Arabidopsis thaliana: one gene and its partner. The protein of the gene in region 2 interacts with the protein of the main gene of each other region in a pairwise test. Each region holds a gene or a part of one and is shown on either strand. Other genes may lie near its edges.

Evidence for each region.
Region 1: the proteins of AT4G25610 (region 2) and AT1G36060 interact in a two-hybrid assay, tested with the Arabidopsis thaliana proteins (one large-scale study listed by BioGRID).

Annotation. Positions count from the first base shown.
Region 1 is NC_003070.9:13,453,732-13,458,271, reverse strand, and holds AT1G36060 (Integrase-type DNA-binding superfamily protein), read left to right. Parts: upstream 1-1,935; 5' UTR 1,936-2,609; coding exon 2,610-3,554; 3' UTR 3,555-3,776; downstream 3,777-4,540.
Region 2 is NC_003075.7:13,061,066-13,067,741, reverse strand, and holds AT4G25610 (C2H2-like zinc finger protein), read right to left. Parts: upstream 4,516-6,676; 5' UTR 4,256-4,515; exon of another isoform or gene 4,076-4,255; intron 3,951-4,075; 5' UTR 3,942-3,950; coding exon 3,797-3,941; intron 3,575-3,796; coding exon 3,447-3,574; intron 3,341-3,446; coding exon 3,296-3,340; intron 3,210-3,295; coding exon 3,156-3,209; intron 2,679-3,155; coding exon 2,574-2,678; intron 2,473-2,573; coding exon 2,269-2,472; intron 2,146-2,268; coding exon 2,060-2,145; intron 1,969-2,059; coding exon 1,154-1,968; intron 1,061-1,153; coding exon 882-1,060; 3' UTR 826-881; coding exon of another isoform or gene 772-825; 3' UTR 514-771; downstream 1-513. Other genes in the region: AT4G25620 (hydroxyproline-rich glycoprotein family protein), read left to right, coding at 1-295; AT4G25600 (Oxoglutarate/iron-dependent oxygenase), read right to left, coding at 5,383-5,715, 5,802-5,974, 6,093-6,150, 6,408-6,461, 6,539-6,596.

The DNA of each region.
Region 1 (4,540 bases), on a different chromosome or scaffold from region 2:
TGATGTTTTAGGTTAAAAATGGTGTGTAAGCAAAAGAAAAGAGAGATTAATTGGGACAAAAAATCACACGCGTGAGTCTTAATTTCGAGGCGACGCCAACGTAAAGTCCAATTTCCCACTTGCAGCAAATTGCGCCTGAGATCACGTGATGCTTTCGTTCTCACGTGGCTCTTCTATCTTGCAACTTAATTATCACTTAAATCACTTATTGAAGAAGGTATTATTTCATCATTAAATTAAATTATCACTTAATTATATCACTGTTATTGTTCCAACGGTATTTGTTGACGGTTGGAGGTTTCGAGCATTATTAAGATGCTAAAATTGTCAAATTTAGTTTCAACAAAATTACTGAATTGAAAAGAGAAAACACTATTTTAGAAAACGTTTTTTTGTTAATGAAGTGTGTTAGTGGTAATTTTATGAAGCCACTCTTTCATTTTACTCATAACATCATCCATTTAAGTTCGGAGAAAATTCAAATGCAAAACATTTAGAAGTATATATTTCAAACATTTTTATTATAACAATAATTTTTCTTAACATTTCAAATATATTTATATTTTTGCGTAGAAATTTGAAAATATCACTTAATAAAACAAAATAATTTCTCTAAAACATCTTAAAGTGAAACGGAAGGAGTATAATAAAAATTGAATATACTTGCATAACAATTGGTCTTAAATGTTTTTCGATAAATCTATTTGTATAAGCATAGTAACTTAATGGTATAGTAGAAGTACTAATCGATCTCAGAAGGATGTTAACACTTTTTTTCTCAACTAATTTTCAACGACTGTTGCAAAAAGAAGGAAAAAACGTAAACACCGCAAAAATGGCAAAAAATGCGAATTGTGGCACTAAGGACATGTGACCTGGTTTCTTTGGCTAAGAACAAATGCACCTTTAACTTCTGCTCTGCATGGAATCTTCAGTCTCCACGTACGAGTCCAAGTGTCGTGCGAATGTTAATATTCAAACTCTACAATAATTATCATCAAACAATATAACCAATTCAAGTATTGATTTGTTTCCAAAATAACCGTTGTACTTATGCTTACGCAAGTCCGCAAGTTCATATTTGATATGCTTCTGTCTAGAACAGCTCTGCCCACAGTACTCCGTAGTTCGTCCGTACTCGCTACCAAGAAGAACAAATTCAACCGTATAAATGTTTATGTGGGTTTTGACCCAAAACACTTTGTCATAATCCTTGCTCAAAAAATCGTTAGGCGCTAGTCGAACGATGAGGATAGGTCTATCACCTAACAAAAAAATCAGAGATTATACGAAAATTAATCGGAAATTAAGTTTAGGGTTATTTAATATTTTTAAAACATATTCCTCCATTACAATTAAGAGAATTATATAACATTGTTTTTAGAATTGTATTAAACACATGAAAACAAGATTTTAAGTTCAAATTTATGATTTTTTCATACAAATTAGAACATAAGTTTGATGTTTTAAATTTGGATATTTAAAAAGTTGGATATTTTTAAATGTTTATCTTAAAAAATAAAAAAAAATGAAAAAAAAGTTTTGGACTAGGCATCCTCTAGACAGGTTTAAGCGGATCTATGATGAATAAATCAGATCAACGATTAATCTTTTCGATTTGGACAAAATTGCGGTAGACTCTATCCGATCAGCCGACTTTTTGAACAAGGGATTCATAACTATTCTTCGAAACATTTCACTAGTTACAACATTTATATTCAGTTTTTATTCAATTATTTTTTATACTTCTTTTTTTATATATATTTGGATCAAATATGTATCTTATATAGTGGGAGTCAAATACATTTTTTTAAAGTCAAATACGTTTTTTTAAAAGTCAAGTACATTATTTTAGGATTATTGATGTACAAACAATATTTTAATCTATCTTCATTGAACAAGCCCTCTATATAAACGGTGAGAGTTGGGTGGGTATTACCAAGGTGAGGTTGAGAGCATCTTCCAAAAGAGAGAGTGTTTGTGTGTGTGAGAGAGAGTGAGTGTGAGTGAGAGAAGAAAAAAAAAATTGAGAGATTAAAATTTGAGTGAAATTAGGGTTTATTCTCTTCTTGCTTTCTTTGCTTCGTTTCATCTTCAAACCAAAAGAAAAAAACTCTTCCATGTCCTGTCTATTCATCAGTCGTCTTTCTTGAGAAAACACAAATCACGATTTTCTTATGAAGTGTTGCTTTATGAGTTTATATTTTGCCAAAACTCATCTAAAACGACAAACTTTTGTTTAAAATTGTATTTGAAAAGTGTTTTCAAGAAAACGATATCCATCAAAAATATTATGATTTTTTCTGTCAATTAATATTCTTTCATTCTTTTATAGAGTTGATCAACTTCATGGGCATTTTTTAGTTCCCTCAAGTTTTGATCCTCTTATTTTATTTCTTTTTTTGTTGATAAATTTATTTTAGTTTTGATCTATGGAGGTTGCTTATTTCAAACCTCGTTGATCACTTTTATTTCTGTATAAACCAAAAAACCAGTCTTTGAATTTTTTCTAAAAAGACAGGTTTTATTTCTTCAACCATTTTTTAATTATAATTTTATATAATCTTGTTTTTTGTAGTACATTTTTTTTTGTATTTCAGGAAACTCCGATGGCGGATCTCTTCGGTGGTGGCCACGGCGGCGAGCTTATGGAAGCACTTCAACCTTTTTACAAAAGTGCTTCCACGTCTGCTTCAAATCCTGCGTTTGCGTCCTCAAACGATGCGTTTGCGTCTGCCCCAAACGACCTATTTTCTTCTTCTTCTTACTATAATCCTCATGCATCTTTATTCCCTTCACATTCCACAACCTCTTACCCGGATATTTATTCTGGATCCATGACCTATCCATCTTCATTCGGGTCGGATCTTCAACAACCCGAAAACTACCAATCTCAGTTCCATTACCAAAACACTATCACTTACACTCACCAAGACAACAACACTTGCATGCTTAACTTCATTGAGCCGAGCCAACCGGGTTTTATGACCCAACCGGGTCCGAGTTCGGGTTCGGTTTCAAAACCGGCTAAGCTCTATAGAGGAGTGAGGCAAAGACATTGGGGAAAATGGGTCGCGGAGATCCGTTTACCCAGGAACCGAACCCGACTTTGGCTCGGAACATTCGACACGGCTGAAGAAGCCGCGTTGGCTTATGATCGCGCCGCGTTTAAGCTTCGTGGTGACTCGGCTCGGCTTAACTTCCCAGCTCTCCGATACCAAACCGGCTCGTCTCCGTCTGATACCGGCGAATATGGTCCTATTCAAGCTGCCGTAGACGCTAAACTAGAAGCCATATTAGCTGAGCCGAAGAATCAGCCGGGCAAAACGGAGAGGACGTCGAGGAAACGAGCTAAAGCCGCGGCTTCTTCAGCTGAGCAGCCGTCAGCGCCACAACAACATTCCGGGTCGGGTGAAAGTGATGGGTCGGGTTCACCGACTTCGGATGTTATGGTGCAGGAGATGTGCCAAGAGCCAGAGATGCCATGGAATGAAAATTTCATGCTCGGCAAGTGTCCTTCTTATGAGATAGATTGGGCTTCAATTTTATCGTGAAAAATTAGGATTCAATTCATTTTTATTCATTTTAACTTGTTTGTATTTTCTTTTAAACTTTAGGGTTATTAGCTGTGCGTAAAATTTGTAATTTAGCATTTTGTATGAATGTAATGCAAGTGTGTAAATTATGGACAGCTCAAGCTTTTTTGTTCATGCCGTACCATGTAGACCCTTCTTCTTTTCTCTTAATTGAAATGAATATGGTTAGTATTACTACTATGAATATATTGTAACACATTAGAATCGTGAAGTTCCATTCTGCGACAGGACCATTGTGCTTAGCTTAGAAATGATTAAAAAGTAAATTAGTCTAAAAGGGAACAATATAGTGAAAACTTAAAATTTAAATTGCTAAATTTCTAGCTTAATATTATAAATTTTGGTCCTATTTTGAAGAAGTCAAAAGAGAAACACAAGAGTGGAAGAAAAGGATCCTTGATTGAACTTTACGTGGTATAAAGATAACCTCATACAAAGTGCCTACGTTGACGACATTCTCATGCTTTCTCTTTAGAATAGACCGAGTGATAGATAATAAGTAAAAAAAAAAGTAAAACAATTATCAAGTCTTTAAGTTAACACAAAAGATTAGATTTCTTTTTTTGTGTTTAACAATGGTAACCAAAGTGAGTTTTTTTTACGAGCAAACGTTGTCAAATGAGAAAGGAAGACTTGGATGATAAAAGTGTCCATGCAAATATAGAAACCAATTGCCAAGCCAAAGGAATGAGAGAATGCACATATATTAGGCTTGCACATTCGGGTACCGGTTTGGGTTCGACTCGAGTATTTGGATTTTGGTTTCGTACTAGGAATCGAGGTACTATTTGGGTATTTTAAAATTTTGTTCGGGATTGGTTTGGTAACCTTCGGGTTCATATCAGTTCGGATAGTTGATATGGGTGAATTGAAAATTATCGGATACAGTTCAAGTTGGTTACTTTATACTCAAATTTATCCAAACTACTCGAAAAGAAAAACCC
Region 2 (6,676 bases):
ACGGTGTCTTGCAAGCAAGCTAAACCGTTCCGGTTCACATGAAAAAGCAAGCGGCGAACATTTAAGACCAAACTGTTGTAAAACGTCGGGAGAAACAGAGAGCGAACAGAGTCAGAAGCTAAGATCGTTTTCTACAGGCTCTAACAAAGAATTCAAGTTTGATAGCACCAATGAAGAGATGATAGAGAAAATTCGATCGGAGTGGTGGGCGAATGAGAAGGTCGCCGGAAAAGGTGATCACAGTCCAAGAAACAGTTGGACTTTCTTTCCAGTCTTACGCTCTGGACATACTTAGCACAAAGAAATAGCTTTTACCTTCTTCATTACCTCTAACATGGGAAGCAAAGTCAGTGATATGGTAAGAGATTGGGGTCTAACAACTATACATATATATAGCTTGGTATTGTAGGTGTCTTTGTTCTTTGTACTGTTAATTATATAAAATAGTTTTAACACTTAAATGGTAGACTTATCATTGACAAAAGAAAAGAAACTGTATTCTTTCTTGGTTATGTATAAACATAAAAATCATCTCTTTACTATATTGTCTTACATTTTTGAGTTAGAAAGGCGAGCTCTACACGCGGTGTGCGTGTTGAGAAAAAAATTCATTGCACAAAAGATCTGAGAACCCCATTTCAGTTTCAAATCTTAAACCCTCAAAATGGCAAAAAAAAAGGTCAACAAAATAACAAAACAATCTCTTTCTACCAAGAATATGAAGTCAAAAAAAGAAAAGAATGAAGACTCTTAAAATGGGAAAAAATCTCTCTAGAAGCAAAGAAAATATCTGTCTCGCTCGCTAACACTGCACTTTTGGTATACCTAAAAAGAATGATACTCTGGTCCAGAATCAGGCTTGTCTTTTTGTTTTCAAGTTTTCAAGGAATCCTCTGTTTTGGAACATACTTTACCTTTGTGCCCTTTTCGGCTTTCGTCCTCAGCTTTGATCTTGCGGTTATAACACCATTTGAGGACTCGTGAGTGTTGTTGCCTGAGATGTCGGTTTCCTGAGACAGAACCAATGTCACGTGTTCTGCAGAGGTTGCCTCTTTCCATCCTGACAAGCCATTTATTCAGATTGAGTAAACAACTTCCAAAATATAAACGATAGGGAGATTAAGATAAAAAGAAAGGGTAAAAGAAGGTTTACTCTTTGCAAGAAACGCCTTTGCTTCGTGGTTGTTAAACTGCAAGCTTATGTGATGAGCGTTTTTCACTTCGGGTGTAGTTGGGTTTGATCTCTTATCTTCTTTGTCTGTGTTTCCATTGACTGTTGAGGTTTTTCTTCCCTGACTGCTCACTGGTCTCCATATTTTTACAGTTGATTGCTCAGATGCGGGTTTCACCTCAACAGTCTTTGTTCTTCTCTCCCCTTCACTGCATTTGGTTTGGTTATGTTCGCCACTGTTTCGGATTGATACACTCAACGATCCAACTATAAATTCGCTGCTCTTTGTCTGATCCTGCTGAGTCACTGCTGCATGTTGTGATATCAATTTGGGGTTATCGGATTTTCGGCTCCAAACTTTAGTAGTATTGGCTCTTGCGTCTCTGTTGGTTCCATTCTTTCGCATGCCTCCAAGGTTTGGTGCATGATCAGCATGGAACCCATTCGGCATTCCCTGTTGTGATCTTTGCATTTGCCTACGGCCACTTCGCCTTTCCATGTTTTGGCCATTGTCTAAGCCATCAACCATTGGCACTTGCGTTTCACTGTTTCTTCCATTATTAGTTTCCAAAACTTGAGGTTCCTCGAGGGATGAAGAATCATCAATTGGTAAGGAATCTGGTGTCTGTGCCTCAGAATCAGAAGCTACAGATAAAGGGCTTGATGGCTCAGCTGGATATTGTTGTTCCTCTGATGTGGTGCTCTCGTCTTCCTTAGCATCTTTTTTCTGGTCCTTCTCTCTCTGCTCTTTCTGCCTTAGCTTCTTCCTCTTCTTCCTCTCCAAGAGCTCAGCTTTTCTGCTCCGAACATAATACCAGTGAATTAGACTCAACACTTAGTGGATTCAGCAACGTTATATTACTGGCATTGCAATTAATAAGCACTTACCTTCTTCGAGCAGCTTCTTCCTCTTCAACCAGTAAATTTTGGCACCTCAGAGCTTCAGCATCTTTGTCAGCAAGCCATGCTTTAATCTTCACATTAAGAATATAAAGATAAATCGCGTGTAATGGATACATGAAAAGTAAAGTTCTCGTATTAGACACTTCGCTTTACCAACTAGAGAGGAATGGTGAAACTTTGAAGGAAAAATTTACCAATCGCTGTTCCAGAAGGAAGCTTGCGCAAGCAACAACATTTTTTGCCTCCAGTACAGTTTTTCCTATTTCCCCGTCAAAAATGTACTTTTGCATTGGTGCAGCCTCGCTAGACAGGAAAGTTTTTTCACTTGCATCATCAAGAATGCTAAAAAGTTCCTGCGAAGAAATTGGAAGTCTAGGTGGTCTAGCCTGGAGAAGATCCTGGAGAAAGAGGAACATATATCAGCCATGAGGTTGAACATTGAGGATAGTTTATCTAGACAGGGAAAAAGAAACCGTCAAGAGAGAGATGCAATTCATACCAAAAGGCCAGAACCAGCTCTTAGATAATATTGTGGCAGAGCAGTATAGCCTGGTTTTTCGATAAGTGACATTAATCCTGACTCCACTGATGCCCCAGGAATATCCTACAAGAATCCAAACAAAGCATCTCGAGTTAGTCTACAAATCATTTTAATCAGGACACAGGTCCATGATGCATAATGCGAGAGAAAAGAAGGTAAGAAAGGTACATCATGGATCAGATATGCATACTCAACAAGCCTGTGAGTGTATGTATACGAATCTGGTATGGTATACTCTTACTTTTGTTTAATGAAAAAGTATTTATTTGGAAACGAATCCCATAACCCTGATGAAGTCATATGGCATTCTAGGAAACATTTATGACAATGCTTATTATGTATCACACCTTTCACTAATGAAGAAAAAAGAGCGATAAAGCATTCATAAAAAGTCAAACCCTTAGACAAGATGTGACAAACAACAATGAAATTAGAATTGGGCCTGAAGAACATGTTATGCCACACTCGTATGTGAGGATCACCATGCGTTTTAAGTTAAGATAAAGGTAAAAGGGAAAGCATCAATGGGAATCATAGTACCTCAAGCATCATGCTCTTTACTGAGAGAATCTCCTTTGCATCAGTTGCAGAGAGCTGAAATAACAACAGAGATCAGTACCTGATGGAAAAACTAATCGAATTGGCAATAACTGTGAGAAGACTACTAGAGGGAAAACTACCTTATTCCAAAAGGCTCCCAGCGCATCCCTCTCTTTGCCAAAATCCTGGTAACATTTAAACACAAACTTCAGATGACTTCAAAGAAAAGAGTAAAGCAACCAGTAAAGACATAAAAGGAAGAAAGTATAGTTAAGCTCAGACTAAGCAAACCTTTTCCGGCTTTCTTTGACGGCGATGCATGCGGTTATGTCTTCTAAAGTTCACAGGAGAGCAAAACTCCCTACTGCACTTTTCACACTTCTGCATTTGTATCTTCAAAGGGGTCAGCAATGGCCAGCCTGGGAACGAAATAGAACATCAAATAAAGTCCATGTACCATACCCTAGGCCACATGTAATTCAAGCATCACTTGGATCTAAAAAAAACTCAATAAGCTAATATGATAAACCCCTCGAGACCAAAACGATATATCCACAGAGTACTCAATCCACCAAATTCCAAAGTATTTGGTCAGTGAAAATGTCAAATCCAAAAAAAGATGAGAGACAATGAGACATTACCTGGACGTTCTAAGGTATGGAGAAGTTGAAAAAGCTGGACAGGAGTATTTTCAGGTCTAGGGAAGGAAAGAAACGGATCCTTTCCAACCGCACGTCTGATAAGCATATCGAGAGAATCATTCCCATCTTGTTTCACAAGCTCCATTGAATTCGACTGCAACATACATTCACAAAACACAAATTCCTATAAACAAAGCACCTATATACTGAACCGATTCTTCCCCTAAGCAACTATATAAATCAACAGTATTCGATTCAAATAGCGTCAAAATCACTAACACAGACAGATGCCTAATTTCCTCCATGACTAAGCCACCTAACAGAGAAAAATCGGAATTGAAATCATAGTATTCGCGGTTTGAAATCTAATCAAATACCAGTGATGTATAGACGAAGGAATGAATTCAAATCGATTTAGTGTGTGTTCATGAGAAGAGAATGGTTAGTCCGATCACGTACCAGTAAAAAAAAAAACAGTAACAGATCGGGCGGAGAATAGGAGGAAGAGAAGAATCGAGAGCGATCCTTCTGGGGATTCAGAGGAGCTTGGGACGGAAGAAAGTCGCCGAGAAAATCAGAGAAAGTGATGGGACGCAAAAAAGGAGAAGAGAGAAAAATGAGAGAAAATTTCGGAGAGAGGAGGAGGAGGCAAAAGAGCTCTGGAAGAAAAATTATAAAGGCCTAGTACGGGCAAACAAAACAACCCTTGAGGCTCAAATCACAAAAAAATCCAGCAAATATTTGATCAGTAAATTTGTATTTTTGTTTTAAAAATAACTAAGAAAGAAAAAACTTTTTTTTTTCTTTATCAATCCTTTATTTTATTATTTCTTAACATGTAAGATATTAGAATAGACTGTTATGTTTGAAGAAAGTTATTGGGATAGACATACAAAAATTATGATTCATGAACAATTGTCTAGATCTTGTTGGTCCGATGATAGGAGAGTGATACAATTTCTAATTTTTTCTTTCTTCTGATTTTTTTTCAAAATTGATGGAACCAAATGGAGTATTTATTTTCTCCAGATAAATATCCAATTTTTATAGGAAAAAATATTACAATTTAAAATTTTTCCTGTATACTTAACTACTTAACTTTTGATTACCATTTTTTAAAAACTATGAAATTTTGGGCTTAGATCATAATCTCTTCGATGGGACCATAACATGTTAAACTAGTCCAACTTTTCATCAATAGTGCTCTAACTTGTGATAAAACATTTGTTTGTTTTTTTTGGTTAGCCAACAAGTACACTGGTTGATATGTTTTTAAAATATCTAGTATTTATAGGAAATTGCAATTTTAAAAATGTTGGAACTAGCAAGAGAAAGGGACTATGCTGCGTAAGAAACAGCAAGATGCAAATTTATGATTCGAGAGAAACATAGATAACAACATAGACAAAGACTTCTAGTTATATCAAAGAAGATCTAAGTGAGTATATTCTTTTCTCCTATGGCCAAGAGGAATTAATTACCACCACGACCCTTAACTATTCACTATTTATTCTATCTTATAGACCAAAAACAGCTCAAGTACTTGAGTATGAAAATGTTCAATTATTTGCGATAAGATTGAAGAATCAACAAGCGTTACAACTCTTTCTGCAGGTACCGTAGTAATCAGGAGAGCCAATCATATAGACAGGGTTTTTCTTGCACTCCCCAAGCTTAGCCCATCGTCCACAGTTTTCGTCTTCATCACTGCATTCCCCACTCTCCTCAATTCTTGCTTGTTTCTTCGCATAGATCAGTTTTGTTGCCACTAACAGTTCTCCTTTCACCACAGGGCACCTCAAATGAGTGCTTTTCCCATCCAAAGATGCATTCAAGAGCCTGGTGAAGAACAGAATTGCGTTTCCTTTTACTGGTCTTAAAATGTTACCGCCCTCCAAGCAACTGTTTTTGGGTTTCATCTGGAAAAAAAGGAGAACTCAACATTCATTGTGGTGTGCCAAATAAAAGTCATCTTTTTGCCTCTCAGGTTAGAAATCAAACTGACCTCTGAATTTGGGAAGAGAAGCTCTCCTCCTTGAGTTGTGTTTGAGAGGTAGAGAACGACGGTTGCCAGCAAAGATTCATGCAATACGGAGCTAGGTTCCTCTCCAAAATAATCCAACTTCTTTCCTGACTTCTCAGAAGTGTAACTTCTTACCTTGATAGAGCCGCCATTTTCTGAAAAATGTGCGTCAAGAGAGAAACATAAGCCAGCAGTTTGGCCACAAGAAAAGAGACCTTCCAAGAGCAATCACAAAGTCTCCGTAGATTACAAAACCAAGATAAGTAAAGTTACCTCCTGGGAGGAAAGTCCACGCAGAAACTTTTTCTTCAATCCCAGCAACTACTGGATCCTAGTTTATCCAAAATGATACCAAAATAAGGAACGGAACATGACAATTGTAAAGGCCATTTTGATCAACCAAGATGGAAACTGCTATACTAGGGTGTGAAATCATTTGTGTTAACTTGACAATATATGAGAAAGGGTGTTACATAAAACTCCAAACATATATCTCAAAGTCTACAACAACACTAGCGTCTTTACAACATAGTGTTATAAGAACATGACAATATCTAATTGGAAAGTTGAAGAATACAAAGAACTTACAAGTTGCGTCTTTCCATCAGCATCCACTGAGTAAACCTCTGTAGTCTCCTTTCTCTAACAGAAAAGAAGTAACCATTACACAAAGAACAATGTATCACTATATCTCAAACACAAAAGAACTGGAAATTAACCAGAGATATCAGATGATCACACTCTTCCTCCGACAAGAACCCGCGGTATAGAAAGACCCTATACATACCAAATTGCTTCAGACCCCTAAAATTTGAAGCAGTAAAACATACATTCCTATGTGCAGAAATGATCCATGA